Linked DNA regions of Rhinolophus ferrumequinum. The protein of the gene in region 3 interacts with the protein of the main gene of each other region in a biochemical or structural test. Links are inferred from orthologs where the notes say so. Each region holds a gene or a part of one and is shown on either strand. Other genes may lie near its edges.

What was found.
Region 1: the proteins of MAGI1 (region 3) and CYSLTR2 interact in a test that uses a peptide from one of them, tested with the Homo sapiens proteins (2 studies listed by IntAct, with this or other methods). The link is inferred for Rhinolophus ferrumequinum from reciprocal best matches to the Homo sapiens genes MAGI1 and CYSLTR2.
Region 2: the proteins of MAGI1 (region 3) and ADRB1 interact in a test that uses a peptide from one of them, tested with the Homo sapiens proteins (2 studies listed by IntAct). The link is inferred for Rhinolophus ferrumequinum from reciprocal best matches to the Homo sapiens genes MAGI1 and ADRB1.
Region 4: the proteins of MAGI1 (region 3) and FCHSD2 form a complex in vitro, tested with the Homo sapiens proteins (2 studies listed by BioGRID and IntAct, with this or other methods). The link is inferred for Rhinolophus ferrumequinum from reciprocal best matches to the Homo sapiens genes MAGI1 and FCHSD2.

Annotation. Positions count from the first base shown.
Region 1 is NC_046287.1:88,775,789-88,783,423, forward strand, and holds the start of CYSLTR2 (cysteinyl leukotriene receptor 2), read right to left. Parts: upstream 3,122-7,635; 5' UTR 2,961-3,121; coding exon 2,944-2,960; intron 1-2,943. UniProt on the Homo sapiens protein: Receptor for cysteinyl leukotrienes. The response is mediated via a G-protein that activates a phosphatidylinositol-calcium second messenger system.
Region 2 is NC_046299.1:13,973,262-13,981,147, forward strand, and holds the start of ADRB1 (beta-1 adrenergic receptor), read right to left. Parts: upstream 3,030-7,886; 5' UTR 2,729-3,029; coding exon 1,331-2,728; 3' UTR 1-1,330. UniProt on the Homo sapiens protein: Beta-adrenergic receptors mediate the catecholamine-induced activation of adenylate cyclase through the action of G proteins. This receptor binds epinephrine and norepinephrine with approximately equal affinity.
Region 3 is NC_046300.1:59,913,384-59,921,212, forward strand, and holds the start of MAGI1 (membrane-associated guanylate kinase, WW and PDZ domain-containing protein 1), read right to left. Parts: upstream 3,041-7,829; 5' UTR 2,429-3,040; coding exon 2,116-2,428; intron 1-2,115. UniProt on the Homo sapiens protein: Plays a role in coupling actin fibers to cell junctions in endothelial cells, via its interaction with AMOTL2 and CDH5. May regulate acid-induced ASIC3 currents by modulating its expression at the cell surface.
Region 4 is NC_046294.1:48,435,253-48,443,382, forward strand, and holds the start of FCHSD2 (F-BAR and double SH3 domains protein 2), read right to left. Parts: upstream 3,091-8,130; 5' UTR 2,596-3,090; coding exon 2,575-2,595; intron 785-2,574; coding exon 687-784; intron 1-686. UniProt on the Homo sapiens protein: Adapter protein that plays a role in endocytosis via clathrin-coated pits. Contributes to the internalization of cell surface receptors, such as integrin ITGB1 and transferrin receptor.

The DNA.
Region 1 (7,635 bases), on a different chromosome or scaffold from region 3:
TGGAATCTACAACACTCAAACATCTAATGTCTCAAGTATTTCTACTGACCTTGATGGCAGGTAATAAGAGCAATCTCCTCTAGGACCCACAAATTAAATCCTTCTGAGTAAATAACAGGTTGTCTTATGCATGTGGGAATTATTTCCAATTTTTGATCCTACCTTATTGCAATCTAATGTGATATCTGCAGGAGAGCTGCATTTCCAAAATATCTTCCAAAATGGCCTTGGTGTGATGTGAAACCTAGATATTTGATATTCTGGAAAAGACATCAGAGAATAACTTCTCTTGAACCTGATGGAAAGGACCTTATTGGTACTTTTAACAACTGGCACAGTATTAAGATTCCAATATTTTAATCTTTGGATTCATGTTTCCCAACTAAAAGACATACATACTTCCTGTCAACTACTGGAAGTTCATTCCTTTGAAAGACCTCAAACTGAAGATTTTTAGAAATTCTCCGGAAGCTGTTGATTTACAGATGTGGACAGCTTCTGCCCAAAATAGCAGAGCAAACTACTGACTGCAGAAGCAGACAGCTTTCCCACACGACAGAACAAAATTAATTTTCTGATTCTTTAGCACGCTTTTTCTTTCCCTTCACTACTCATCTTGTCCATCACTGTACTTTCGCTCCCTCTATTAACTAAAATGATCTCCCTTCTCTTTATCCTGTGACCCATTATGGTCTTCTGCCACTTAAGAAAAAAAAATATCTGTTGTGGTTTTCTCAGACCATAGCTACTGTTCTGAAGTCAACTGATTGCTGACAAAATTTAATAACTTAAAAAAAAGAAGAAAAACCACTTCAAAAGGTAAATTTTCTTCTACATATCCCTTCTGATATTTAAGTTCCCCTTGTATAATTAATCCCAAACTTCAGTCTGTTAACAATTTTACAGTGAACCCCATCAGCAAAATACTTCTGCTGAGGTCTTCACCAGAAGACCTAAGCCGTTAGGAGTGGGAACAAAGGTGGGGCCTATTTTAGATTAAAAATAGTTTCTTTGTTTTCTTCAGAGATATTCCAGCCTGCTTTGCAGGACATGTTTGACTCCCCCAAGGAATTTATCCACCTCCAGTGGCCCCCCCACTCCTGCAACCCCTACAGAGGCTCACATAAAGAGAAGGCCTGTTGTGATCAATGATTCTTAAATTCCCAATACCAACACAGTCCTTGCCTCACTAGGATACTTCTTATTTATTTGGACACCAGGTTTACACCCACCCGCCACACGCTAACTTAGCCTGTGTATTCAGGATAATTGTTAGAGAATTTCAAAGGTTTGAATTATTACTCCCTCCAGCGAATCCTGTTTCCCTAAAAAGAATACACAGAAACCTTAGAAAAAGGTAAGCACAGGCTAACTGAGAGAACACTTGGGAAGCATAACTAACTCCCATGCATGCAGACTGTCATGCTGGAGACCCTGCTCGCTCCGCCATTTGTCGTGCGGGGTGGCCTGCAGGGTCTCTGGTCCTGCTCCCCACATAAGAACGCAGGGTGTGGCTAGGACAAAAAGGAACACCCACGGAGCCATAGTTAGGGCAGTCATACCACTATAGTCTCACTGGAGGCTGGATTCACACAATCCGCAACCTGCTGTCCGATTCTCTGCCTGCCAATCAACCGATTCACTAACCAACGCAGCCGTGGAAGTTCTATCAGTGGCCAACTGGCTAACTGGTTACAGCTGACAGCCATCCACCACCCGAGCCAGCACCTTTCCACATGAGGCTGAGAGCCTGGAAACGGCTCTCTGGGACTCTGTCCCCACACAGACTGTGCAAGCAACTACTACCAGAGCTGAGAGAGCAATAAGAAAGGACTATGCAAAACTTGTCTCCGACCCTGGCAAAAGTCACAAAGTATACAACTTCTCTGGAAGCTGACAATATTCTCTCCCTGATCAAACTCTAGCCAGGCTCCTGTGAGCCCTCTTCCCAACTAGGTTTCCACCTGGGCCTAATAAAACACTAACATCGTTCTTAATGGCTCAAGTCCACATCTCTAGGATGACCCTAACCTCCCCTTTTTAACATAGCCTGAGATAACTCAAGTCTGTCAAAAGAATTTACTCTTTGTTTGAACCAACACCTGAAGAAAGGGCCCCTGTCTACCAGCCTCTGTAAGAAGGTAGGAGGCTAACCCTCTGTAAGTGCCAGTTAGCAAACCCAGATGCATTTCACATAGACCAAGCTTCCCTTCCAACTTTTTGGAATTTTCTACTGAGCACCTTTTCATCCCCTCTTTCTCCCTTGAAAATGTCCTGTTACCTCCATAAAAATTGAAGTTGAGTTCAGTTCATGTTGGATTCTTTTCTCTATTGCAATAGTATATTATTGATTAAAATCTGTCCTTCTCACTTTAACTAGTGTCTGGCTTTATCTATGATAAAGCCCAGGTTTAAATGTAAATTTATTAGGCAGAGTTGTCATGCATAATGACATAATTCTTAATTTCTTCTTAGCTAGCCAAAGAGAAATATATGCTGAAGTAAGCACTTCTTATAGAACCTGTATAAATACTACAGAACAGCTCGAGACTGGGGTAGGGGTGGGGGAAACTTCCTCGATGTCTAGAAAAAAACAGGTAAATTCTGGGGGCCATCTTTTCATTATTTGGGTGTGATAGTCTAGGTCCCTGTTTTTCAGAGTCTATTATGAGAACTAATAACCATTTTTGTTCCTGGAAATTCCTGCTTCCTTGAATCTCATCCCCAAATTACTTAACACAAGCACAAATCCTCTAATAATTCCTCATATCTTCGTTCTGAGTTTCCCAAGGTGTGCATTCTCCCTTGGTACAACAAATCAATACACCCAACTTTGTTCCAATACAGGCATGTTTCTAATGGATGTGGACTAGAAGACACTGCGAGAATCCGCACAATAAAGAATAAAAGGGGTATGGTGAAACATTAGTTACATTAACCTACCCAAAGGGATGGTTCATAAATATATTTCTGATGCAGTATGGATGTTTTTCAATTCTCCTTCAGAGACCTATGTGAAGATGTAACTCAGAAAACATGGTTGGCTTGTAAATGATGTCAAAAAAAAAGAAAAGCTTTCTTTCTTTAATTCAGCATTTCCCGAAGTATCTTCCGTAGCATATGAGTTCCATACGATGTTCTCTGTAAAAGAAAAGACTTCCATGTTCAAATCAGCCTGAGAAACACAGCAAGTTCTACTATCCCTCCTTTTGGAGATTTATAATGCATGTTAAAGGCTCCATTAGGGGTCCTGCAGGGAAAAAGAAAGGCTGATTTATACATAGGATGCCTCTCTTTTTTGACCCTAAAAACTTTTTTTGCACATTAACACATTCTATTATCCCACAGGATTAATGTTCTACACAACTTTACTTGGGAAATGCTGATGTTATTATATAATCCATTGGGAAGATGATTTTGATAGAGGAGAAAGAGAACCCCTACCTAATGGGTCAGATCAACAAGCAAGTGTTCAAGTGTTTGGAGTCACAGAGTTCTAAGCACTTACTTTTGGGTGAATTTGCATTTTTGAGCACCCATTACTTCATTGGTGAAATGGAGATTGTATTAATTTCCTAGGCCTGCCTTAACAGAGTACTACAATTTGAGTGGCTTAAAACAACAGAAATTTATTCTCTCACCGTTCTGGAGGCTAGAAGTCTGAAATCAAGGTGTTAGCAGGGGCATGCTTCCTTCAAAGGCCCTAGGGAGGGAAGAATTTTCTTCTTGCCTCTTCTAATTTCTGGTGGTTACCAGCAATCTTGGTATTCCTTGGCTTGTGGAGGCATCACCCTAATCTTGACTCTATCACATGGTGTTTTCATTCTGTGTCTTCACATTGTCTTCCCAATATGTATTCGGTGTCACAATGTCTTCTCTTCTTAAAAGAACACCAGTTATTCAGCTTAGGGCTCATCTTAATCCAGTGTGACCTCCTCTTAACTTATTACATCTGCCAAGATGCTATTTCCAAATAAGGTCACATTTACCTTATTAGTTACCTGGGGTTAGGACTTGTATGTATCTTTTTGGGGATCATAATTCAACCCACAACAGGGACATACAACATCTATGCACTGAGTTGTAAGGATTAAATGAGAGAGAGTGTGTGTGTGTGTGTTTCACAAGAGTACGTGGTACTAGGTAAGTACCACTAGCTGCTTCACTCTCATGAATGAATGTAAGGATGCTCTAGCTTCAACATCCATCATTCCACTGTCCATGTGGATGAGTTGATGACAATTCTCTCATTCATATGAAGTGTACAAAGTAGATTCCTCTTTGTGTTTGTTGGAAAGCATACTCTGCAGAAGCATACTCTGCAGAAGCATACTCTCAGGTTATTCTGACGTGTTTATGATGAAAATCTCTCAAGAGAACTCCACTCGTTGGTTCTGAGTCTATCCCTACCAGGGAACCTTCTGATAACTCATCTTCTTAATTTCTGGAAGAGTGGACTGTGGATTGTGAACTGGAAGATTCCAACAAAGGGAAAGTAGAATCCCCCATTATAAAAGTACAAATCAGAATTCTGGGTTGAAAATTCATCCCGTGTGAGTTTAGTTTGTGTAAGTTGATTTCTTGAGGTCTATGAGCTGACTGACAAGATGAAATACCTCCTGTGCAGAACTGAGGGCCACATCCTATTTCTGAGATGGCCCCAGGCCTTGGTGCTAACTATAAGGATCTCTCTTTTTGATCTGGCTCAACAGTAAATCTGAGGTTTCTAGCTTGGGTTATAGGAAGCATGGTGAGGCCATTTGCTAGAATGAAGAGCACAGAACTCAGGAGACAGGTCAAGGCTGCAGATACAGTTCAGGGAGATGGTCACGAAGAGATTGGAAGTCTGTATGCCTGACTTGGGAAAGGGAAGATAGCAAAATAAGAGGCTTGGAGATAATGTTTTAACCAGTTTGATAGAGAGCTAAAGTTTCTATTCGTTGGCCAAGCGAGGACAGAAGGATCAAACCTCAAATCAGGAAGTACGGTGTTGAAGTGCTGGACGTCATACAGACAGCATGCACAAACCAGGACCATGAAGCAAACATGGAGTTGGATCAGATGTCACAGTTATGGGTCAGCTCTGGATGGGAAGAACACTGGAATCAGGGTTAACACTCAGAGCCTAGGGGATAGGAGACAAGGCAAGGAAACTAAGACTGGTATGTGACCAGCCAGAGGAATTTTCATGGAAGTGTTCCATTACAAACTGGTTTTTTGAAAAGGACAGAGACCTGTCCCTATGGCCATATAGAAACTCTTTAGTTTGAAAGATCCTGACTTTGGAGCCAGGATTCTGATAGCATCATAAGGAAAGCCTATATCTAAGAGGCCAGGGAAGGGTCTGAGTTAGTACAAATAGACTCGAAAGCAATCAAGTCCTTAAACTTTTTGACCGTGAGGAGCACCAATCCTCCCATCTCAAGACCAACAGGGCTTGTGAATTACAATGAGAAGGGCAGCCTAGGATGTGGCAAGCCTTCAGGGACACTGCCAGCTACAGATGCTGGGGCAAAGTCCCTTACCATAGGCAGAGCATGGACTCTAGCAGACAAGAAACCAGCAAAGAGAGATGGTAACAGGTGGTCCACCAGGGAGTTGAGGAATGTGAGGGGAAACAAAAATAGACCCTAGCAACAGGGACTCCTTGAGCAACTGGGGAGGAAGGCAGACCACATGGGGAGGTCAGTCTGCAGGAAGGAAGACCCTTTGCCGCCAAGCCACGGTGCAAGAAAAGGACTTTGGACCTGAGAGGAGGCCTGGCCAGTTCAGGCAAGCTCTGCATCCTAGAGGGCCCAAGTGCTGGAAAAATCCTTGGACACAGAGACTCAGACCCGGGGTGCCAAGACAGGGGTCCATTTCCCCCGGTGAGGCAAGGACTGAAACTCAGGAATAAGAGATGTGTCCAATTTTAGAATCAAGGCACAAGATCAAGGTCAAATCAACCCCAAAGGTAACACTACGTCCCAGAGTTACTTCAGTTCCTCTACCTGAGACTGGGATTGGTTCTGGGCCCCAGAAGGGGCTGCAGGGCAGTGGGAAGGGTTGATGACTATCAGACAGGTTGCAAGGAGAGGATAACTACACAGGCTGGGGCTTTGATTTCAAACAACACCTCCAAGACCATCTTAATCCCTGGAAATCTAAAGAAAGAAAATATACAAACATCCTCCCTAAAAGCCTCATTTAGCTAATAGCCACAGACCAAAAGCAGGACCAGCTCAGATACAAAATTTCATTTAGCTCAATATTTTCTCTTGAGAACCTTTAAAACATTTGGATTGTTCCTTCCTGCTAATATAAAATACATTTGACTACACCACATTGTAATCTTTCACTAGACTGTAAAAAAAAAAAAGAAAGAAAGAAAGAAAGAAAGAAAGAAAGAAAGAAAGAAAGAAAGAAAGAAAGAAAGAAAGAAAGAAAAGAAAAAGAAAAAAGAAAAAAACTTCCCTGCTAGATGTGGCTATAAAAACCGGCCAGACCAATTAAATATGTGAAGGAAAGGTGAGAAATATATGAACAGGTAAATTCAAGGGAAATTAGGAAATAAATTGACAGCATAATTTCCACTGCTTTAGAGGGAGAGTGTGCATGGCTTTTTGTACCGAAAGGGGGCTTGGAACAAATTAAGGCTTCATCTCCTACAGCTTTACTGGTAATAAAGTAACAAAGAAATAGTGAGAAGCAGCAGCAGATGGAGATTCCATATTTCATTTAGGAAGAACACCAAAGAGAGGTAATAGCTCACATTGTTGCTTACGCGATTTTCATGGTCATAGCAAAGCTTCAACTGTCCCACACCTCACAGAAGTTATTTTCCTTTATACTTAGGAAAATATACATTTGGATGCATGGACGGGGTGATGGTTAGCCCTCGTCACCGGGGCCCCCTCCCCCCCTCCCATCAGCACTGACAGGGAATGTGAGCCCACAGATGTGCTCACCTCCAGTTCTCAGATCTGGGCCTGGGACCTGTGCTCAGGACCTGAAGAGTGAGGCACTCAGACACACTGACACAGACATACCCAAGAGCAGCGAACGACGTGCTGCTAGACAACCAGCTGCCGCGACGCTGTGGTAAACTGCTGAGGAACAGATAACCTTCTGGAGAATCAAGGTTGGTACAGTCTGCACCATCTTTTTAAGGCCTTAGTGCACAGCAGTCCTGCGGGCGACAGCAGCAGCACCAAACCTGCCAGCGCCTCGTCAGAAGGAGAACTGGTAGACCTGCCATGCTGCAGCTTCCCTGACTGCTATTCAGTGACGTTCTGAGTCTTCTGTTTGGCCACTGTTGCCAGGCCTTCTAACCTCCACACTGAAAATCCTTCTGATAAATTGACATCAGTGCCCTTGTCTGTCTGATCTCATCAGCCACCCTCACTACCCCTCACTTTAAGCCCCCCAGCTTTGGCCAAAACTGCCTAAGGGCTCTGGGAAAGCATATTTCCTTTCTCAGCTCACCTCCATCTCCACCTCAAGCCACAGATGCTTGTTCATTCAACTTGGAGCAACAGCCAACCTGTGCTGCGTTTACTCTGTGGTAAGCACTCGGCAAAGCTCCTTTGTGTATTGTGTAAGGATTGACTCCATGAATCCTTAAATAGTCTTAGGTACTCTGAATTGGTCATTTCA
Region 2 (7,886 bases), on a different chromosome or scaffold from region 3:
TGCTTCATTGGTATTTATTGCACGTGGACCAGTTCCTCACACAGTAGTTAGTTGCACCAGAGTATAAATACTTGGTAAAACACACAGAGGAAAATAGAATTTACACACAGGTGCTAAATTTTACCAGCAGATTCACGTGGGCACTTGGACATAAAAAAATAATTAAAAAATCCTTAAGATAATTATATTTATAATATGGATACAATTACAGTACCATGATAAAAGAGTATAAAAAGGTATTTTTCCAATAAGTCATTAGCTAAATAACATAATAGACAACAGAAGTAGAGTTTCAATTTTATTTTAGTTTTTACGATCTCCCCCGCCCACGTTTAAAAATATTTAATTTCTTCTTGTGCAAGTAACATCTTCTGTGGACTTTACAATTCCTAACACTGTGCAAAAATGGCATTTTTAACCACTCCTTTTTTTGTTTTGTTTTGTGTTTTGTTTTTACCCACGTTTAGTAATCTGAACTGTTTCCTCTTTTGTTTTCTTTTTCTGTTCTGTCTTCAATGGACAGTCACATGTCACAGAGGCTCAGTGCCTGGTCCTTCCAACTCATATTGATACATAAATAGCTGTTTAATATAAACAAGTCTTTCTATTTTGCTGTGCAATGTGCACAGTGTGAGGTAGAAACCCCTCAGCCTGACGACCGAGGCGCACGGGGACAGCAGGCTTATCCTACAAAAGGAAAGCAAGGTGAGGCTTGTTCCAAGAATAGCTTACAATTTCTTCTAACGTGGATTTCGCACACACCCTTTCCCTTTGCTTTAGGAACAGGAGAAATCATAACTCAGGAGTTAAAATGAAATTTCTCTGGAAAGCAAAAGGAAACATGTCCCGACAAATTGTCATTCCCCCTCTCGCTCCGGTTGACCGCTCCTGTTCCCGGGAAGTCAAGTCGATAGACTTTTACCCCGTCATGCTTCTCCCTTGCCCTACCCAGTCCTCGTAGAACGTGTCAAAAACACCTGGGGAAAAACAAAAACAAAAACAAAAACAAAAACAAAACAAAACCTAAAGATGCATCATACGCACACACAAAAGAAGATCGAACCTCAAACAGGAAAAAGAACACAAGAAAAATCAGCAAGCCACTCTCTCACCCCTCCCCAAACTTTCCTTTCTGTGCAACGATCCGTGGCTTTTCTGTTTGTCTTGGATGATTCAGATGAGGTTTGTGGGCTCCGAGTTCACCTGCTTTCGATCTTGAGTAAACACATATCTCTTTCCCCTGGGAAGCCATTCAGGGACGCCTAGGCTTTCTTCCTCTAGGCGCGCAGAGCCCGCGTCCCGGCTGGGAGGTGTGGAGGGGTGCCCGGTCCTACACCTTGGATTCCGAGGCGCAGCCGGGGCGGCTCGGTTCGTCCAGGCTCGAGTCGCTGTCCGCCGCCGCCCCGCCGTTGCAGCCGGCCCAGGGCTCCAGCAGACGCGCGGGCGGCGTGGCCCCGACGTCGTCTTCGTCGTCGTCGTCCGAGGCGGCCCCGGGCGACAGCGGCGGCCCGGCCACCGCCAGGCAGCCGGAGGCGCGCGGCCGGTCGCCGGTGGCCGCGTGGCTCCCGCGGGCGGCCCGGCGCCCACAGCAGAGCAGGCGCTGGAAGGCCTTGCGGAAGTCGGGGCTGCGGCAGTAAATGATGGGGTTGAAGGCCGAGTTGGCATAGCCCAGCCAGTTGAAGAAGACGAAGAGGTGGTCGGGCACCAGGTCGCGGTGGAAGGCTTTCACCACGTTGGCCAGGAAGAAGGGCAGCCAGCAGAGCGTGAACACGCCCATGATGATGCCCAGGGTCTTGAGCGCCTTCTGCTCTCGCAGGGCCACGAGGCGCGAGGGTCGCCGCTTGCTGGTGCGCCCGTTGGCCAGCGGGGTGGCGGCGGGGCACGGGGGCCCCGGCGAGGGCGCGGGCGAGGCCGGCCGTGCCGGGCCGCTGAGGAAGCGGCGCTCGCAGCTGTCGATCTTCTTCACCTGCTTCTGGGCCTCTCGGAACACCCGCAGGTACACGAAAGCCATGATGCACAGGGGCACGTAGAAGGAGACGACAGACGAGGCGATGGCGTAGGCCCGGTTAGTGACGAAATCGCAGCACTTGGGGTCGTTGTAGCAGCGACGGGCCTCCTCGCCCTCAGCCCGCCACCAGTGCATGAGGATGGGCAGGAAGGACACCAGGGCCGAGATGGCCCACACGGTGCACACGAGGGCCCGCGCCCGCGTGCGGGTCAACAAGCTCTGGTAGCGGAAGGGCGAAGTGATGGCGAGGTAGCGGTCCAGGGCAATGACACACAGGGTCTCGATGCTGGCCGTCACACACAGCACGTCCACCGAGGTCCAGAGCTCGCAGAAGAAGGAGCCGTACTCCCAGCGGCCCCACACCACGATGGTGGCCCCGAACGGCACAACCAGCAGCCCCATGACCAGGTCGGCGCTGGCCAGGGACATGATGAAGAGGTTGGTGAGCGTCTGCAGCCGCGGAGTCTTGGCGATGGCCACGATCACCAGCACGTTGCCCGCCACAATGAGCAGAACGATGAGCGCCATCAGCAGGCCCATGCCGGCGGTCCACTGCTGCGACAGCTGCACAGGTCCCTCGCTGGCCGGGGTCAGCAGCGACGCGGGCGGCGACGCGGGCACCAGTAGTCTCGCTGCGGTGGCCGCGCCGTCGGGGAGCGGCGCGGCGGATGACAGGTTGCAGGGCTCGGAGGCGCCCAGGACGAGCGCCCCCGCGCCCATGCCGAGCTGCGGAGGCCGGGGGCGGGGTGTGTGGCGGGGTTGGGCCGTCTTTGGGGAACACCCCAGAGGTTGGGGCGTCCGGGCGCGCGGAGGAAGGTCGCGGCCAGGTCAGGGCAGCCGCTGCGCAGAGCCGGAGGCATGGGCGCCGGGCGCCTTCCCTGCGGGAGCCAAGCTCTGTCGCCGCCGCCGCCGCCGCCGCTGCTGCTGGAGCCGCTGCCGCTGCTGGAACAGCCGCCGAGACCACAGCATGTTTCTGAGCGCGCTGAGCCCGCAGCTCAGGCACCCAGCATCCACCCCACCCCGCTCCTACTCCCGCAAGCCAACCCCTCGGACTTCGCGTCAGGCTCCTGCAGCCAATCCCGACAAAGGCACGCCCCTAGTTGGTTCCCCCCCACCCCCCCGCCCCAACGCCCCGCACCCCTTCCCACCCGCAGTTCAGCGGCTCTGGGGAGTCCGGGACGATTCGAGCAGTGAGCTCCTGCCCGGCGCCCGCCGGTGCCTGTGCGCGCGCCCCTTCCCGCTCCTGCTGGTTCCTGCGCCCTGTTCCCCCAAGCTCCGTGCTGCGGCCAGCTCCCACCCGCGTCCCTGCCCCTCTCCTAAGGCCCCCACTCTCTCCTGCGCTGCGCTCCCTTCTTCGCCCCTTCTGCCTCCTGCGTTCGGCTCCCTCCTGCGCCCCCGTCCCCTGGCATCCCCTCTACGTCCAGTGCCCAGTTTTCCTGCGGAGCGGAGCGAGTTCTCCCTTTTGCGGGGAGGGAAGCTCGGTGTTCTCCCAGCCCCAGGACACCTTTGACAGCCTGTCCGATGGGTTTGGAGGAGATTGTTTCTCGGATCGGGCAGCCTAGCAGAGTGTGTGTAAAACCCTTTCCTGGTCAAGGAGGGGACCCAGCCAGACTGCGTCCTGCCAGCTCAGGGGATCGGAAGCGGGTGTTAGTGGTTAGAGGAAACTTTGCAGCAGAGCGCCTTGCTAGAAGAGCAAACGACGCATCCCTCAGGAACGCTCTCTGGGCGCTATTCTTGCAAGGAGCTTCTGTTGTACCAGTGCAGTAGATGCAGAAAGGAAGCTAAGGTCTGTGCATCTGACAGCTAGTGCTGAGGACCAGTTGGACACTCCCCAGTCTCAACTAATGCATAATGTGAGTATAATGCAACAATGAGTGTGGATGCTATAAAGAGAGAGAGGCTTAAGGAAACACAAATGTTTAGACATAAGAGAAAATGACACTGCGGTGAAGAAAGAACACATTTAATTACATTTCAGACTTTTCCCATTCAGTAATAACACCTGCATTTTGTGTTTTATTACTGACATGATTTTATAATTCGAGCTGGGTCACTACAAACAGAAAAGTACTGTTAGTTATGGTTGATGTAATGAACTGAGATTTCAGATTTGTTGGTGGGCTTGGTTTTCTCCTTTGTCCAAGTTCCCAGAGTCTCAGAACTCTAGGATTAATTTTGGAGGGATGAGAGAAGAAAATATGTAAATACTCAAGAGGATTAAAATCAGATAGCAGTTAAAATTATATCAGTGGTTTCTGAGTTGGCAAATGAATCAGTTTGAAATTAGTGAGTTGTGTGCCTAGCTGTCTGTGGATTGTGTGTGGGGACAAACAGACAGGATAGCCACCAGGAGCACACAATGCAGCAGGACTGCAAGCCCCCTCTCAAATTAAGGTCCTCAGCTCAACCTTGAAAATAAAAAGCCTTTAATTGAATCCTTCAGAAGTAGACAGCTTCCAATTACCCATATACGGGTGCATGAAAATGTTATGTAATGCTCACGCATCTTTCTAGCTTTTGGACCAAACTCGTTCTTACCTTGCAGAGAGATTGACTTCCACACCAACCCATGTCTAGAGCTAAAAGCAATGCTTATTCAGTTTATAAAGTCAAGCAGTTTTAACCACCTTCTCTTATGTGAATCTCAACATATAAATTTGTTTTAGGCCCAGAGTTGTAATCAGAGTGTTGGGGGGATGGTGATTTATTTGCTCATTCATCCCTGCCCTAGGACTTGTCAGCCTATTTCTGCCAAACTGGAGAGGTTGAGGAAGGGGGAGCAAGGAAAGAAGAGGGTCTAGAAAGAGGGAGGAACAGGAACTATACCCTGAGTTAAGTATAATCTCTGGAGAGTCTTAGTTACCCAAGTTACTGCACTCCTGTCTCCCCCTCTGGCTTCTTTCTGTACCCCCTGAACCCCACACCCACCCGCAAGAGGTAGTCTCAAAATAGCCAAGGGATTGGAAAGAGTTGAATTTGACACTTCCCAGGAAAGGGGTTCTGAGTGCTGCTGGGCTCGGGGGTGAAGTGTAGGGAATGTGGAGAGGAGGCTTTCTATCAGAGCCATCTTTCTGTCAAGTGGTGTTATTGGAATAGTGTGCCAAGCTCAAGTGCCCCTGAAAGATGAAGGGATTGCATTCTGTCAGCAATAAGACCAGAACTTGGTTGTAGAGGTTCAGTGCAGAAGCCCAGATGCCAATACCTTTACTGTGTCTATAAATATGTACGTATTTGTATACATTATGTATCCATACATGTATTTGTATACATAGTATGTATAAACACACCATGTATGGAGAATTGTTGAAAAACTCTCCTGAAACTTACCCCCCTGCTCATTCAAGCTTGTCTGAATTTCTGGATAAAAAAATTCATTAAATCATAAATCTTCAAAACCAGAAAGTTATTTTAATAGGAGTTCCACTAGAGGGCTGCAGGGGATCCCAGGGACTTTCCTTCAGTGGTATTGATGGAAAAGTTTGGAATAGTCCAGGTTCAACTAGAGTTAGCTTTCTTTGAAAATGAAATGTTCTCAGATCTCCTTTAATTCCTACATTTTGTGGCACTCTTTTTCTTCTTCCTTCTTTCCTTCTCCTTGTCCTTCTCCTTGTCCTTCTCCTTCTCCTTCTCCTTCTCCTTCTTCTTCTTCTTTGGACATTTTTGAGCTAACACTTTTTGTACTTAGATAAGGATACAAGATCAAGAAGAAAAGGTCCGATATATCCATTTATACAGGTATTACATGTTGCAAGTTCAAAATGAATAATTTCTCCATTCCCACTCACAACTGTTCAAATGAATCACTTCTCAGGAACCCGTGGATTTGACAGGATTTTAGAAAATGACAGAAAGCTCCAACAATCAATGCTAACCAGCACACCTGAGAGCTAGTGGCCTTCTTCCTCAATATTCCCTGTCGCACCTCTACCTTTCCCATCCCACTACCATCATTTCACACCTGAACTTGCTATGCATTCTCTTTGATCTCTTTGATCTCTAATCCTCCCTGCTCCATTTAATTTGGAATGCCATACCAAATTAGTATTTCTAAAACACTTCTTTGACCAAGATGTTTTTCTGTTGAAAAACCTTAACTCCTCAGCTTGGCATTCAGAGATTTCCACCGTCCAGTTCCGAATAGCCTTATAGCCTTCCCAGTACTACCTTGGACTAGAACTCTCCATGTCACTCTAACCTGAACTTCTGAATTTTTTTTCTCTCTTTTAGATCTAATCTCTCTCTCTCTCTCTCTCTCTCTCTCTCTCTCTCTCTCTCTCTCTCTCTCGCATTTGTACTCTCCCTGGGTTGCTTCCATCAAGAATCCCTTCTTCCTCCATCTCTGTCTCAGTGGATTCAGTCTTCAAGATCTATCTTTTTTATTTTACAGTTATTTCTGCCCACCTGCTTCTGGAAGTGATTTCTCCTTCCTCTACCTACAGTGATTACTCTGATAATTGCATTTCATGTGTCAACAATATTTTGCCTTTTCACATCTGTCATATTTTTATTTAATTTTTATAGGTTTCTCTCCCTTTTTCTTATATGGATTGTAAGATCACTGAGAGCCAGGATTATCCTGTACATTTTTATATCTCCCATGATGTAACATTTGCTTAATATTAATTAACATGGAGCTTTGATTCATAAATATGTAATGTCTAATTTATTGAAATATTCTTATATTTACTAATGTGAGAAATTATTGAGTGGTTTTAGAGTTATAATCTTACATCATGCTTAGAATTTACAGTAATAATTTATGTCCCTATAGCCTAGTCACTATTTTCACATAAGCATTTAAAAATACTTTACAATTACAAGGTAGGCTCATGAGATAAATTTATACCTACTTGGTAATGAATAAAATGGGACATAAGAGGTTTTCCAAAGGGGCCATGCAGGTCCACAGCCATAAAAAGCACTACTTAATCTTCATAAATATTCAAGGTAAATGACCTTTTTTTTAAGCTTTATGATACTATATATGCAGGCATTTTGCCCTTGGAGAATAGCTCATGACTTGAACCTGGTTTCAAGTTTTAGATTAAATCAAAGATCCACACAGCAGTAGTTAATAGGTATCCAACCCACCTATGGTTGTAAGCCATGAGCTTGGTGAAGACATTTCCCCTCGTGAGTTGACTTACCTTGAAAATGAGGTAAAAGTAAAAGGGATAATCTAACTAGACAACTGCTGGAAGGTGGGCCAGTGGAAATGGGGAAATTTTCAAATAAAGCCCCAATAAATGTATCAAATCAATAAATGTTAAGTAAGCAAGATTGCCTCAAGGCTGATAATCAGTGGTGGGATTTGTTAATCAGAGCTCAAATGGCTACTTCTGAGTAAAGATAGACAACTTTTCATATCAAGCAATACAACTGCTGAAACAGTCACCCAGAACTAAGTAACAAAAGAACAGCCTGTACCCGTGGCTGGTACTTAAGGTCATATAATGGTTTTGCAGTCACAGTTTACACAGGGAGAAGCAACTCCATCCATTATGATAAGAACAAGCACAGAGGACAGTGGTATAATCATAGACAAGTGTGGACTATTTGGAAACTTCCTCCATCTTTGCCTCCTCCTCCTGTTCCTGGTATGTCTAACAAGTACATTGAACAGTGCTAGAGCCAATAATAATATTTTTCAAAATGTGGATGTGTTGGAAAGTGTTCAGACCTGGGAGGCAGAAGATCAAGGTTTGTGTCCTGGCCTTGTCACTTTTCCCTGTGACCTTCAGCAGTGGCTTCCTCTGTAGAATGCACTCGCCACTCGCTCCCTCCCAGGGTTGTGCTCAAATTAAATGAGGTAATGTATGTGAAAGCTTCTTGAAATCTCATATAGAACCATATATTTGTAGCTCATAAACTGCTGTCT
Region 3 (7,829 bases):
CTAAATTCCACTATGAGGCAGCCCTGGGACAGTGCCTCCCAGATCTTTGAAAACTGGTAGGAGGAAGAGGTTCAGCCCCACACAGCACCTTGTGTTGCACACTCAAAACAAGCCCCCACACAGGACCTATCAAACACCAGCAGATCCCTCACCAGATGATACCCCTGGCTGTCCTTCCTCCAGCCCTTTCTCCAAATGCCCCTGAACTGAGACCTTAAGATGCTCCCATCAAATGCAGTATATTCTCTACAGTTCCACCAAGTCCTGATAATCCAGGTACCAGCATTAAATTCATAATCCAGTTTCCTGGCACTAAAAGCTAAACTTAGAAATAACTAATTCTCTAATTCAATTTAAATATAACAATAGCTACTCTTTATTGAGCACTTACTACTATGTGCCAGGCACTGTTCTGCATACTTTACACTTATCAGCTTATGTAACACCCTCAAGAAAGCCAGTTTACAGATGAGGACACATTCTCACAGCGAGGCCAGGTATTAAGCCTTAAGCAAAGCCAGGGGAGATATGCAATGAACAAGCACAGTCTATCCCCTTAACTAGCTTACCACCTGGTATGGAAATGAGGGGAGTGATCTAACTCAGAGTTAGATCACTAGCTGGATGCTTGGAGGGCTTCTTGGAGGAGGTGTCCAAGTGGACAATGAGGACATAAATGGAAGGAGCTTTCCATACCTATGCATCTGCCCCTCAGCTCCCAAAGCTAAAAGGCCTGTATATTCCCCTCTGGTTCCCTCCTCCCTGTCCCCTAACAGGCTTGTTTCCACGACTGGACCGGCCTAGCCCTGCCCAGCCCTTTTTTCCTTTGACCCATTCCTCCAGCTGCTGTTGCCCTTCCAGACCAGGAGGCACATGGGAACTTTTCACCACACTGGACTTTGCCACCTCTTCTAATGCCTTCTTGGGAGAGAAACTGCGTCATGGCACTTGGTAGTATAAGGCCTCCCTTTAAGGGAATGGAGTCCTTCTCTGTTGGACTGATACAGGGACACCCCCTTCCTTGCCTACACGTGCGATGAAAGGGACTCCCCACCACCAGCAGCCAAAGGAGAGGCCATCACTCCTCTACAGGCTTTGGCGAGTCATTTGCTTCCACTCCCTCATCCCACAAGGGTCAGCGCCCCCACCTCTCCCTCTTCAGTGCTTAAGGCTCTGCAGCAAGGGCTCGATCCCTCAGTTTAGTATCATGTGACCTTGGCCAAGTAACTTAACCAATGTCAGACCCAGTTTCCTTATATGTAATACGGGCTTTATAAAAACAACTCATTCTCAGAATTGTGAATCAGAACAAGGTAGTGCAAGGGACGCATTTTACACAGTCTGGCATGTACGTAGTAAGCTAACAATGAATAGTAGCTATCATCATCACCAATAATGATATGGCGATGCTGGTGGTAGTGATGATGGTGGCAGCATAAACTTGGGCTTGATTCAGGCTAAAAGAGAAATACACTTCCTTTCCCTCCGCCCCCCACCACCCTCCCCGCCTCCCAAGCCTGGGGCTGAGCCACACGGTGGAGACACGCATCATCCCTCAGTGGGGCGAATGCAGGCTCTTCAGGCGGCCGGCTTAGGAACCGTTGCGTCCGAACCCACCTGGAGGGTTACGGGATAAAGGCGATTTTCTGATGGAGGAGGTCCAAAAACCATAAACCCTCTCCTCACTCATACCCATTGTCCAGGTCTGGAAACAGACCAGTGGCAAAACAACACAGCACTAGGTCTGCAGCATCACTCCCCCAAGGAGCCAGGAGAGCCTCCACTTGGCCTCAGCCTCAGTCCTCCCAACTCTCCTCCAGGCGCAGGCGAAGCTGCGCTGCATTTGGTGACTGAGATAACAGGTTGGCAAATCAGGCCTGGGAAAAGTCTCCCCGCTTCCCGGCGCAAATCCAATTCCCTCCTCCCAACGCAGGTGGGCAAACAACCCGCAACCTCTCCACAACTTTGTGTATTTCACCACGACAGGGCGCACGGCCTCAATTTCACCTCTAAGCTGCGCTCGCGGGAGAAAAGCGGGAAATTGAGATGGGGGTGGGGGCAACCCGCAGGCAGCTCCCCTTTTCTGGGCGCCTCCGGAGGCGCGTCCCGTCTTACCTTGTCTGACGGCTTTGAAGGTGACGGCCTCCTTGCAGCTGTCGATGACTCCCAGCACGTCATAGCGGGGCAAGCCCGACACCCGGATCCCCTGCACCTCCAGAAGCAGCTCCCCCTCGCCCAGCCTAGGGCCCTCGCCGCCGCCGGGAAGCCCCGTCGCCTCGGCCGTTGCCACGGCTCCGACATAAGGAAACTCCCCGTTCTCCGCGCCCCCCAGCACCGTCACCTCCAGCTCGCCCTGGGGTCCCCGCTTCACGGTGCATTCGTGAACCTTGCTAGTCCAGTGGTTCTTCTTCTGGATCACTTTCGACATGACGAGTTACACCACTCCTACCCCCAAAAAAAATAAATAAAATGAGACAGGTGCCCCCCTCAGCACAAGCCCCCAGTCCCCGCTGGTTCATGGGAGAGACATCTTCCCAAAAATAACGCCACGGGAGAGAGAAACTTGGTAGCCTCACTCCCCTGCACACACTCGCGCACTCAAGCCATCATAAAACAAACTTTCTGGGCTTCCCCGCGAGCCCTGCACTGGCGCCCACGAGCTTTGTTTGCATTCCGGTGCTTCTGGGTCCACGTTCCAGCGCCCGACCGTGCTCTCCCGGACCAGAGTCCACTCTGCGCCGCTTGGGTTTTGGTGGTTTGTTGTGTTTTTTTTCCTTCCTTCCTTTCTTTCTTGCCTCTTAGAAATGCGGAATCTCCTCTTTAGCTCCCGCCTGGCTCGCCTCTCCGCTGGCGGGCTGTTCCTGAGGGTGAGGGAAGCCCTTCCAGCCAGTTGCTGGGAGCCCTGGAGACGCGGTAGCGGAGCGGGGGTGGGGGTAACAGGAGGGAAGTGCCTGCGGCCCCTTTAAGCAGATACAAAGGCTCGGCTTGTTTTGTTACAGTTCATTCTATTCCGCGCCGCGGAGCGCAGCGACCGGCGAGAGAAAACGCACGCGCATGCGCCCCTTGGTCTCCAGCCGGCCGGCCCGCCCCGTCCCTCCTTCCCAAAGGGAGAGATTCCAATGTGCTTCCCGTTGGGTCCTAAAACCGACATTTATGGAGAAGACAAGTTACTCCCTTTCAATCACGCTTCTTATTCCTGCTTTTCTTTCAGTGCCTTGGGCGCAGCAAATCCCTTTGGAGCTAGGGGGAAGCACATGGGTTTTACTCCAACTGTTTGCAACTTTTGAAACATGGGCAATCTGGGTTTGGCATTTTAAAACCATTTTAAACAGGTAGGGGCTGGGGAGGCTCACACACTCACCCTCGCGCTCACACTCACGCACACACGCACGCACTCAACGCCGGCCTAAGCCGCCTAATCGCCCTTGGCCAGTGGCTGGCCACGCTGTCGGTCACTCAGCCCAGCTTGTCTACCGCCCCCACCCCCACTCCGCCGCATTTCCCTCTGATACCCCTGTGCGGGTCCGGAGACTGATGTCTGCCCCGCGCCTGCAGTGAGCCGGGTCCTGGAGTGGAGCTGGCCAGTGTCTCTGGGACCCTGGGGAGGGGGGCGGTGGGTGCCTCCTGGATGCCCCACCTGGGATCCCTGTGAGCGTCACACGCTCCCACACACACTTACCCGTACCCTTAAACTGTGGAGCCAACGTTTTAGGACACAAAACTGTAAGAGAGGGAAAGAAGCCAACAGTTTCGGAGCTTCAACATAAAAGGGCTTTTTAACTGCTCTTCCAGCAAAGACTCCTGGAGTCAGTCATCTATCCCGGGCTCAAGTTCCTGGCTGAGCCGGGAAGCCTGCGGACCTGCCCCGGGGCCAGGAGATAAGGATCACCCCCATGTCTGGGATCTGCACCCGCGTCCTGGCGCCCGCGAGGGCGAGGGCGAGGGTGTGGGCGCGGGCGCGGCAGCCACCTCTCGGAATCCGCAGCCCCAGAGTCGGTGCTGCCTCCGGCGCCCTCCGGGGACCGGGGGTAGCCGAGCGTTTGTCCGGGCTAGGTTCAGGAAGGAGCTCGGGAGATGCCGACAGAAAGAAGACCCTACACCGAGAAGGAGGCTGCCCTCCAAATACGCCCGAAATCAGCCTGGGCGCTAGAGTCTCCCAAGCAATTTTTTTTTTCCTTAGTGATTTATAACTTGTTTGTTCTTCTTTGGTCACAGGAGAGATTCCAAGTGCTAAATAAGGAAGATGAGTGGAAGGGACTCAGGAAAGATGGATGCCAGCTGCAGCCAGGGTTAAGATCTGGCCTCTGGGTTTAACTTGAATAAGCTCCGTGACCCTCAGAGCCTTAGTTTCTCCCCTGAGTATAGCAATACCTCGCAATGTACTTGGGAGTATTACATAGGTGAACACTTGTAAAATGCCCAGCTTGTAAAGTGAGTACTTGTAAAATGACATATAATAAAAACTTATACTACTACCACTAGTAGTAGTAGTAGTATTTTATTTGGAAAGAGAATTAGGAAATCGTTTGGGGTTTCAAGTTAGATGATGATGATAATTCCTGCTCTCCTTTCTAATCTTAAAATATATAGGCATACATTTAAATATTTTTAAAGCACTCTGGAGAGTGCTATCTAAGCTAATAAAAATAAGAGAAGAATATTGATGCTTCTCTCTAGGGATATCCAGAACTGAAAATCCCCTTGCTTTGTAGTATTCGTGAAAGAAGAAAGTAGCCAAGTTTCCTTGACTCTTCTTGGTGAGGGAAACTTCATCTCCATTCTCTTTTCTCAGAAGCAATCAGTTTATCTCACACTTGACTGAATCAAAATGAGTGGGAGCTTCAAAACATTCCTTCCCAAACGCAAACAATGATCCAGCCCATCAGTCCAGCCCCCAGGACTTTTAGGGTTCCCCTGAAGTGGTGCTGGTACATAACATTGAGGACCACAGGTCTAGCATCTCGATTCCTGAGCATCACAGACCCTTTTGGAGAATAAACCTGTAGTCCATATCTTCCTATAGAGTATAAGTTCCAGGGGGGTAGGGAACTTTGGCACTTAGGTTTACTGATATAGTCCCAGTTCCTAGAACAGTGCCTGGTACCTAGTTAATACACAACTATTTGTTGAATGGATCTCCCCACACAAGTGCACATTTTTGCATACCATGTTAGAAATGGAGTCACTGAGTCCCCTACAAATCACTAGTAAGCTTTACCTTGTGTGTTACCCCACTTGCCCACTCCATATTCTAGTAGTCTGATTGCTTGCCAAGAATTTCCCCAACTGCCTAGAATCAGGGGCCTCTTCCTACCTCCCCATTCAACTCTTGCTCCCACCTGGAGAAGTCCAAAGAATGGGCAAAACCAAGTATTTTGTGATTCATCCCACTGCAGCAGCACCATCTCCCCTCTCCGGGATTCCAGGTGTCCCACAGCTGGGAAGGGAAAAGTACTTGGAATTTAGCACACTTCAGATTTTAGATGTGGAATAGCCCCAAGAAAAGAAGGGATATCTGAGGGCACAGGATGGAGAGACGTATAGAGAGACATTGTATTCCAAGAACATAAGTATTTTGAACCTCCAAAGCAGCTAAGACCACCAATTTCCAGTTACTAAGTTTATGATGTCCCCAAACTCTCCTCCTCTGACATTTTTTGTCTACTGTATTTCACCTGGTCCAGTTCCTGTATCCCAGACTGGAAGCAACTTCAAGGCAGAAATTATCTATCCTATCCAACCTTTGAATCCTCAGCACCTAAACCCATGCCTTTTGTGGCGTGTGCACCATACACATTTGTTAAATGAAGACATGGATGAAGTGTGACGTTAAACTGCAGAATATGTGAACTTTGTTGCAAAGCCTTTTTAGATTTGGTGGCTGGAGCGAGCCAAGGTATTTATTTCTTGAAAGAGCTTATAATTATCTCATTTTGAAGTAGATTTTTCTTGAAGAGATGTAAAACGGGATCCTCGTGTTCTGGCTTCTTACACGTAGAATATGACTTTGATAATACATTCCAAAAGGGAAAAATAATGCTATAAAATACCTCACTTTGAGGTTTACCATGTGTGCCTGGATAGCTTTGTGCATTATTTTATCTAATCATCACAATCTTGTGAAGTAGGTGTGACCTGATTTTACATAAATTACCTTGATTTTACAATCGAGGAAAGTGAAGTTAGGGAAGTACAGAAACTTGCTCAACAGCTTAGAAGTGGTAAAGCTAGGATGTGAACCCAGAGGCATGACCCAAACCTAAAAACCCATGCTCAGCACCACTGCACTAAGAGAGTGTAGGATGTGGCCAACTTCCATTCAGTGTGCTTGGGTAACAGCATTGTTTTTGGCTCCTGCATCTGCCACACAGTGTGGGCTCACTAGTTAAGCCACCCTCCCATGTCTTCCCTTTAATCTGAAGGAATACAGTGTTCCATTCTGGAATCCAATCTCCAGTTCGCCATCTGTGGGCTCTGAAGATTGGATAATTTACTGAAATGTAAAGAGGATTAATTTGTAAACATTTCTAAAGTGTTTGGAGATCTGTGGGCTGTGGTACAGGTGACATGCCAAACATCTTTATACTGTTATTGTGTTAACATTTCAACAATGAACTCTTAATAAACACAGTAGATTCAAATGAGACCTAAACTGTAACATAATAAACTCTACACAAAGTAAGATCTTATTTTCATATACGTAGTTCCACTAAGGGAGAGGGGGGAAAAAAACTCACGAATATAAAATCTGCATGTCTTCTCTTTTTCCCAAATAGATTTCTTCCTAAAGTTTTCCAGTTGTGATTAAAGAAATTTATAATTGCAGTGTAAGTGGCATTTTACATTATTTTTCTGAAAACGTGAGGATGCGAAATAAGTTGGTCAGTTGTGGGACAAAGACGAACATATAACTTGGTTTTCATTTCTGAAAAATACCATCAAGAGGTATATGTTATAGATATCAAAACAAGTATAAATGCTTTGCACGTATTCAGTAAGGTAACTGATGATTTAGAGCAACAAAGGAGGTTGAAGCCATTAGTTCAGGTAGCAGGTAAATGGCAGTGAGGGCCATTTTCCTCGTCGTCTCTTTCTGGTGGCATTTTTATGATTCACTTGATAACTTATTCTTTTCCTTACAGGGAGGCATTTGGGTGATTTTCTCTGACCGTAGTAGTTCTCCTTTTAGTACTATCAGCTAAGCAAGAATAAATAAAATGTTAATTCTGGTGACCTTTTAAGAGATCACATGTGAACTATTTTTATACCCCAGAGAAGGAACTCCAAGAAGGAGAGTTTAATCCTGGCTAATGTTCTGGTTCACGTCTAGGGGAAAAAATGAGATGGGTAACTGGAAGATTTGAAATTTGATGATAGTTCCAGAAACCCAAGAATTTATCATGAAAATCTCTCCTAAAATTTCTCTCCTAAAATTTCTCCCCTAAAATTTCTCCTAATGATTCAGCTGTATAAAACACTAAATATCCCAAATTAGCACATTATCCTGCATAATTTTACTGAAAATACATCTGTTAATATTGTTAATTTCCTTAAGAACAGGACATTTGCATTTTCTTGATTACAGACATTTATATCTTTTATTCCATCTCCCACCAAATCTATGAAAATATAATAATCTGAACGTGGTCGATGCTTAAATAATACAGGATTTTGTTATTGAAGGTGTTCACTCTCTTCTTCCTTATTGTATATCTTTAAAAATTTACTGCACCAAAACAGAACTGAATGAGGGAGGAAGAAAACACACACTGAAACAAGGGTGGAATGTCTGTATTTTAAAAAATACTCTACTGGTATGAGTTTTCACA
Region 4 (8,130 bases), on a different chromosome or scaffold from region 3:
CAACATGCAAATCACTGTCCATCCTTTACCAAAATATGTTTGTTAAACTGTCGGGTTGTATTGTAGAATTGTTAAATAAAATGGTGGTATTTCTTTCAGTAAAATGAGTCATGCTTCCCTCTATAAAGAAAGATACCAATTTTCACAATTGGCATAATGTCTAAATTCAAAGTTTTCTTGATTATGAACAGAGGTAATTTTAATGATAAACACATTTCTCACTAAATTTAATGTTCAAAGATAAAGTTGTGTCTGTCATGCTCCAACAAATAACGCTAGTATATAATCATCTCAGGTTGACCGGCTCACCCCTAGATATTAACCATTAACCAGAGGAGTTAGTTTAAAAATCAGTGTGAAATCGATAAGGTCAATAAATGTTATAATTCAGTAAAAAGATTATTTAAATAAGAATTTCAACTTCAATGATTATAATTTGACAGATAAACTTTTAAGACCCTTGTTTTTTCATAATAGTATGTGTAAGTTATAGGTTCCCCCACTAAAGGAAAAAAAGTTTGTATTGTGTTAGTTCCAGTTATAATTTCTAGCTGAGTCAAAGCTCTAACAGCCTTAAAGCAGGAAATCCAAAAGGAAATTCCATCATCAGTTCCTGGGGCTTGGTAACTCAAAGCTTCTTTGAAACAGAGATACAGAAGTTCTCAAACTATTTACTATAACCTTACCTCATATCTTCAAGCAAATCACATTCTGCTTGATGTTTGGCTTGAAGTTTTGTCATCTGCTCAACTTGAATGTTTTTCAGTTCTTGTGTAACTTTCACCTAAAATACACCATATATTTATGAAGGCCTTACTGCAACTTTAACAAAAAACAAACAAAAAAAACTGCTTAAGGAAAATACTTAATACTTGTCAGAATATACACCTCTTGCGCACCTCTCCCCTGGAAACTAGAAATCCATTATTAGCCACCTAATTTTGTTTACTGAAGATACTCAGTATGAAAAAAAATTAGCCAAATAACCTGAAACAGAGGCTAAATCTAAGTACACAAGTGTAAAAATTACAGATTAAAGAGGTGCAAAATAAACTGCTAGTCATTCAATTTCATGCACAAGCTCAGTACATATCTAGGTCTTCCTAGAGTTTTAAAAGAGTCTGTCTTCTGTTTCTTCCAAAAAGGATTCAAAGATATTAACCACCAGAAGTACTGAGCAGAGTGTAGCCCGGAGAAGGGAGCATAAGAATGCCTAATATCTAATGACTGAAATTTACACAATCATGAAATTATATGCATGAACGGACTACATAAATTATTCCATAATGGCTGCAAGAAAGCACACTGTCTCTGGATGATGCCCTCCACTCGCTGACAGCGCATCAAATCACAATCTTTCTCACAAAGGAGAAAGCAAAAGTGACCTTCCAGCATATGCAGTGCTTCTAAGCCACCCCAGCAAGCCGGTCCCCGCCGCGGCTCCACTTTAAAGAGCCAGAATAGCAAATGCAAGCTGGCCAGTGCCTCGCCCGCCAGGCCGGGACCCCAGGATTCCAGGTTACAGTGGGCCTGGAATCCCCACCGCCGGAGTGAGGCTACCCGGAGGGGTCGGGGTACGTTTTTTAAAGAAAAAAGACTTACTTAACTGAAGAAACCCGGATTAAGAAAGAAAGAGGAGGAGGCAGACACGAGTGAGTTAGATATTCAACAAACGTTTGCCCACGAGGGGAGGATAGAACAGCCTCCTCCACCCAGCGCCCAGAGTAGACACTCAGTAACTATCTGCAGGATTAAAAAGACAAGGACACAGACTCAGCCCCTGGGAAACGTGAAGAGGGCTGTGAAACAGTTCTCAGAAAGTGCAGCAGTAAAGCTGCTGACAAGCCCGGAGCACCCGTCACTCCCACCCCAAATCCAGATCGCGGTGCACCCGCCACGCACTGCCCGGTTTTCACTCTCCTGAGGACAGCATCACCGCCTCCTGGCCCCCTACCCGGAGGGACGGGGCAGGAATAGGGTGGGGGACAGAGAAAGGCAGGACTGACTGGTCAATGCTTAATTTCTTGTTTTCCCCTGGGATGGGGGGGGGAGATGACTATTCCAACTTCTTTTCGGCCCGCCCCGTGGGAAAAGCAGGCCAAACCTTAAGGCTGGGCTAAAAACAAATTCCCTGCAAATTTGCAAAATGGGCGAGGGTGGCGACAGGCAGCTGGAGGGCTCAAACCTGGTGCAGACTAAACAATCACACAAGCACAAGGCTCTGCAAAGCTGCAGGGGCTCCCCCGCCTCCCCTTGGTGCAGCCCCGAGAATGCACTTTGCAGCGAGCAGCACTGCCATGCGCGCGCACACACACAAATGCACACCCGAAACTCCTCTGAAATGTCGGGGGTCTCTCGCGTACTGGAAGGGACGAACCTCAGCCACCCCTCCGTCGGAAAGTCACCTCACACCCGTGCCCCCCCGCCTAGAACCGGCGGAATCTCAGTGACAAGCCAGAGGCGACGACGGTCACGGCCGGTTGAGGAAAGGGGGAGGGGGCGCAGCGGTCGCCCCAGCCGCGTTCCTTGGACGCATCCTCCCCGAGCCCCGAAGCCCCCCTGCTGCACCCTCACCTTCCTCGGCGGCGGCTGCATGATGCTGAAGGGACATCAATCCTCCACCGACGGCGGCGTTAGCTAAGACGAGGAGAAGGAGGGCCGACGGGAGGGGACGGCCCAGCCGGCGCGTGTGTGTGTGAAAGGAGAGCCTGAGAACGAGGACTAGCCCGGGAGGGAACAAGGCCGGCAGGCGGCAGGAGGACCCGGGTCGGAGGGCGAGTGTGAAGAGGAGGAGGAGGAGCGCCGGGAAAGCCTGGGGCTCTGGCGGCCTGGGGGGTGTGTGAGGGAAGGAGGCGGAGACCGCGAGGGGGCGGGGGCCCGAGAGCTGGGGCTCAGTCTCCCAGCTCGCCGGTCGGCTCTCGAGGAGCAGCCGCGTCGTCCGGCTCCCCGCCAGCCGTCGGCTCCGGGGCTCCTCACAGACGCGGTCCCCCGCCCCCACTCAGGCAGCCCGGCCCTCGCTGGGCCTGACGCCCCCACCCAGCCCGGGGAGGTGAAGGCGGTGCCGCGCTCTCAGCTTCAGCTCCTCCACTCAGGCCGCGGGAATTTCCGGCCCCACCGCGAGGCGCAGCGCCCCACTCCGGCGGCGGAGGGGACAGCTTAGGCCAGAGCCGGGTTCCAGGTCCCGTGGCCGCGGCGTGGGGCTCCCTATCGTGGCGGGGACGGGGGGAATTAACGGATCGGTCGGCGAATAGGAGGGGCAGGAACATTAGCAGAGCACGAAAATCCCCCCGTCCTTCCCTAGAGTGGCACGTTCCAAACGCCTCCTGTCCTCCCTCCCCCACACTGGGAGCCAGCCGGGGGCTTCCCGCGCGCTTTCCCGCCAGCCTGCCGAGGCGCGCGCCTCCGATCGGGGGCGCGCACGTGGGCGGGAGAGGGCTCTGCGCCGACGCACGCGCACAAGCAGCCCCTACCTCCTGCTGGCTTTTGCGGCTGCAGTGTTTGTGCGGGCTGGGGGGTCGTGGACGTTCAGAGTGAAGTTTTTACAATGATAAGGGGTCAGTATGCCTGTGACAGTAGGAGAGTTCCGGTTTTCGCTTCATCTCGGTCCTCCAACACCCCTCTCTCCCGAGCAAATGGGCCGGGCAGATAGGCACCAAGGGAGCCAGCATTAGCAAGTCTTATCACAGCAGATCACAGGTGCCTGACTGTTGTTGGGGGGCGGGGGGAGTGTCTAGTTCCCCTTTAAAGAAAAAGAACAGCTCTCTGCTACAGGGCATTCAAGTCAAAGAGCATGGACTCTGCAGGAAGGGAACAGTTAGGTCGTTAAAGGCAGGGCCCCCATTTTATGGATGGGGTGAATAGTGCCCATAGAGGACTGGAGACTTTCTGAAGGTCACACAGTAGGACTAGAATCTCTGGATCACGAAGGGTTCTTTGGGTTATAAAGAAACAGGTGCAGACGATCCATTAGGAAAAGTAGAGGAGGCAGCAGGGGCAGAGGAAGCCCTTGTCTGGGAATCAGGAGCTCTGGATGCCGGTCCACTCTGCCTGCCTCTAATTGGCTAAGTGAGCTTGGGCTGCCTCATCTGCCAATGAAGATGCTCATCCAGGCAGCCCCCACACCCACCACCGCACGACCCCAGTACCTTCCTGCTCTGCAGACCATCTGGCAGGAGGGGTATCTGCCTCTCTTGGAGTCCTTAGAAGAATGAAAATCCCTCTTCTGGAGCCACAGGGCTGTGTAGAGGGTGAACTAGATTGCCCCATAGTTTTATCAGAAGTTGGCATCTCTGACACCTGTTCTCAGAAGTGTAGTCAGGCAAAACAGGAAAGTGAGTGAGGCCTGGAGAGACCCAAGTAAATTGCTCAAGGCCACATGGCCAGAAGTTGGGAAGATGGAACTTGAACCCAGGTTGTTTACACTGAGTTAGCCTAGATTATTGTACATGAAGGTGATAGAATCAGAGCTATGCTTGAATCAGATTTAATCTAGAGCTATGTGTAAACTAGGAGACCAAGCTTGCTATTTCTGGTCTCCTTGAGGCCATTCAAAAGTCAGCCCTTCTGCAGGGTCCTCAGTTACTATCAGGGAAGGCCTGGGGCAAGAGAACAGGTGGATGGAGGCCCAGGTCCCTGAGAGTTGTGGGTCAATACCTAGAGCCCAGGCCAGAGGTAGCCAGGCTGGGCTCCAGTCTCAGCTCCACCACCAATTCATTGCGAGGCCTTGAGCGAGTCAGTCCAACTCTTTCAGCCTTTATCTCCTCACTTGTAAAATGGGGATATAATATCAGCCTTGCAGGCTTGTATTAAATAGATTTTCTCCTACCACAAGACCTGGTACATAGTGCTCAATAAATGCTCACTGATTCATCATTCATTCAAAAATATTTGCTAAGGTCCTGCTTTTTGCCAAGTCTTTGTACCAAACACCAGGGATAGAGGGATGAGCAAAACAGTGTCAGCCTAGGCCTTCACCAAGGCTGACCAACCAACCATTCCATGAATGACCCTGGGCCAGTGGGGGAGCGGTAAGAGTGCTTGCCCAGAGGTAGTGGCCCACACATAGAAGGTGCCTGAGAAAGATTTGCTGAATCCTCGTCCTGCGTGTATCTAGTCTGGCCCAGAGACTATCTTCCCTTCACCGTCCTCCTCTGGCAGTGAGCACTGGGGCTATAAGTGTGCTGGATGTTGGGCGACTTAGATTCAGCCTCTACCACTGATCTGCTGGGCTTTCTCTGGGCCTTGGTTCCAACTGCAGAATAAAGTAAGTGAATGGGCCTGGACCTTAATAGACTCTTCGCAGATTAAGTCAAACCCTGAGGCTTCACTTTATGAATTTAAGAGGGCATCCCCCACCTTATTTGCCGTTATTGTGAAACCAGGAATGGCATTGACTTTCTGGAATAATTTCCTTTGGAGGTTTTATAAAACTAAGGGGCAACACCAGATGGGCATGCCTACTAACTGCTTTTTCAAAAATGATTTTTAAAAGTACGCACTTAATATTTACCACCGGAACTTCCAAACTCCAAACTTTCATGTTACTTTTCCAAGCTAATCTTAATTGTAAACCTATGAAATAGTATTTTCTTCATTTTACAAATGGGGAACTAGAGGCTCATTGAATAGAAGTGACTTGCCCTGAAGTAATGGATTTGGGACCAGAACCCTGTTCTCCCATTTGCCTCTATGAGGAATGTTCAAAGGAATTAGGAAAGTTCACCCAAGAAAAAAGCAGTCTCAGGAGGTTACAATCCATATGTTCCAAAGTCACAGGGAGGGGGAAAAGGTTTCTGTGATTTATGCAAGCCTGAATTAAAATACACATATACACCTTTGAATCAGGCTGGAGACTTCCAGAGCCTTTCTCCTGCAAAGCAGGCAAGCACCATGTTACCCGTAAGATTTCTTAAGATTCTTTGGGGGAGATGCCACAGAGCTGTCCCATGGCCACAGAGTAGCATGTACTGTGTGTGGCTCCAGAGACAGAACTGGGACAGGTCTCAGCTGCATCTAGGGAAGGAGGTTTTCTAGGCAGAGCCACCCCTAGAGGGGACAAACTCCCCCATCCCTGGGGCTGTGCAAGCAGGTGTTGGCTTCCTTCCATCAAGGAGGATTCTCACCCTGGGAAGGAATAACCACTACCATTTATGTTACCTTTTCCATGTTTCAGGCATTGAACAAGACATGTCATTTATATTGTTTCTAACCCTGACAACAACCCCTCGTGATAAATATGACCCTATTTCACAGATTTCACAGCCTGAGGTTCAAAGGTAAAATGACCTGCCCAAGGTAACACAGCTAGGACAGGAGAGCAGGCCTGGCCCCTGGCTCCCTCTAGCTCTGCAGCTGTGCTCTCCCTCTAGTGTGTGTGCTGCTGTGCAGTCTCCCAGAAGGAAAATGATTCTAAGCTTAAGAGCCAGGATGGAAAGCTGGCCTGGAGCAGGTATATGAATGGGCTTTGGAAGATGAGCCATTCCAATATTCCAGGACTCTCAGGAAAACCCCCGGGGAGGCAGTGTGTGCAGCAGCCCTTGGACATGGCTAGAACATGAAGAGCGTCCCAGCCCAGTGAAGAGTGGGTACCCAGGACAGGCGGGCACTCCACCCAAGGTTCTCTGCTGAGAAGGTGGCCACCAACCCATCTGCCCATACTGCACCACCCCCCTTCAGCTGGGGTTCACAGACCCTCTGCTTCCTTTCCTGCTCTGTCATGATCCCCCACTTACAGATGCCAGTTATTTCCTGCCTGCACCCCGCAGAGCCTAGCTGCAGACAATGTAGTCTGTGGACCCCACTCCTATTCACCTTCCTTCTACCCTAGTCACCTTCCCTCTCCACCTCCATCCCACAGGCACACACATAGGGGCCTTTGCTCCTACCTGAGCTAATCCCCTTAACACGGCCAGCCTGGCATGGGGGTATGTCTCCTCCACGCGTCTGCTCTTCAGACAAGAGAATCACAGCCCGCTGAAATGCGGCTTTGAGATCTGTGACCACCAGAAGAGGGCAGGGGCTCTCCCTAGGACACAGAGTGAATTTGTGGCAGAACCAGATACCATCCAGCATCACTCAACAATCCCCTTGTTCTGGGTTCAGTCATAAGCAGGTCTCTGGGGTAAGCGCCAGGCCCTGCATGCACTCCAAGAGCTCCCAATCTCAACACGTAGACAAAAGGTCACAGCAGTGAATTGAGGACATGCAGGGCCAGGAGAGTCATAGGACCCAGATTCTACCTGGCTGTAGCAGGGATCTAAGGCCAGAGGTTAATTCTTGAGAGGCAGGCACTGGGGTCGGGAATTATCTGGTCATCTGGTGCCCCTGCCAGGGAATATTACAACTTGGGGTGGGGATGAAGGGACAGCCAGTCCCAGGGCTCTAGTAGGAGCTGGCAGTCACATGGTTTTGAGATCAGGAGGCAGGAAACCAAGGTTCTAGTCCTATCTTTGCCTGGTACTTGCTGAGTGTGACTTTACATTACAAATTCTGTCCGGTCTTCCTTCTGGGGGGTGGTGCAGGTTAAATGAAATAATAGGTCCGTGATCAGTAAAGGACTGAGGAGCTATGTGAGCAAGTAACTACCCATCCTTGGATATATCAGCGAAGGGGCTTCCCACTGGTTGCTGCACTGTGATTACAACTCTGTGAAACTAGGACCGATGGGTAAAAGAGGTTAGGGTGGAGGGGTGATATCATGCAGATTTGGGGTCAGACGCACCTTACTTAGTTGTCCAGTTTCTCCTCTACCTGACTTTGGCTTCTTGACCGAGTCCTGAAACCTCTCTTCAACTGAGTTCCCTTGTCCAGAAAAGGTAAATAATGATTTTTTGCAGGGTTGTGGTGAGAATTAAATGGGAATGTTTATATAAAACGCCTGCAACCATGCTGGCCCACACATGGAAGTTTCCTTTGTACGTGCATGTGTTTTCCTTCAGTTTCCATTCGTTTTGTTCTGGTTTTGTTTGTAAATTAAAAAAAAATAAAACAGAAAAGAGGAATTCTCATGGGAGGAGGTTTAGCCCAACTACAGTCCTGGGTTTTGCTCCTGACTCACCATGAAGCCCCAGGAAGTCCCTGCCCTCCCTCAGCCTTCATTTCCTCATCTGTAATACCAGAATGTTTCTCCAA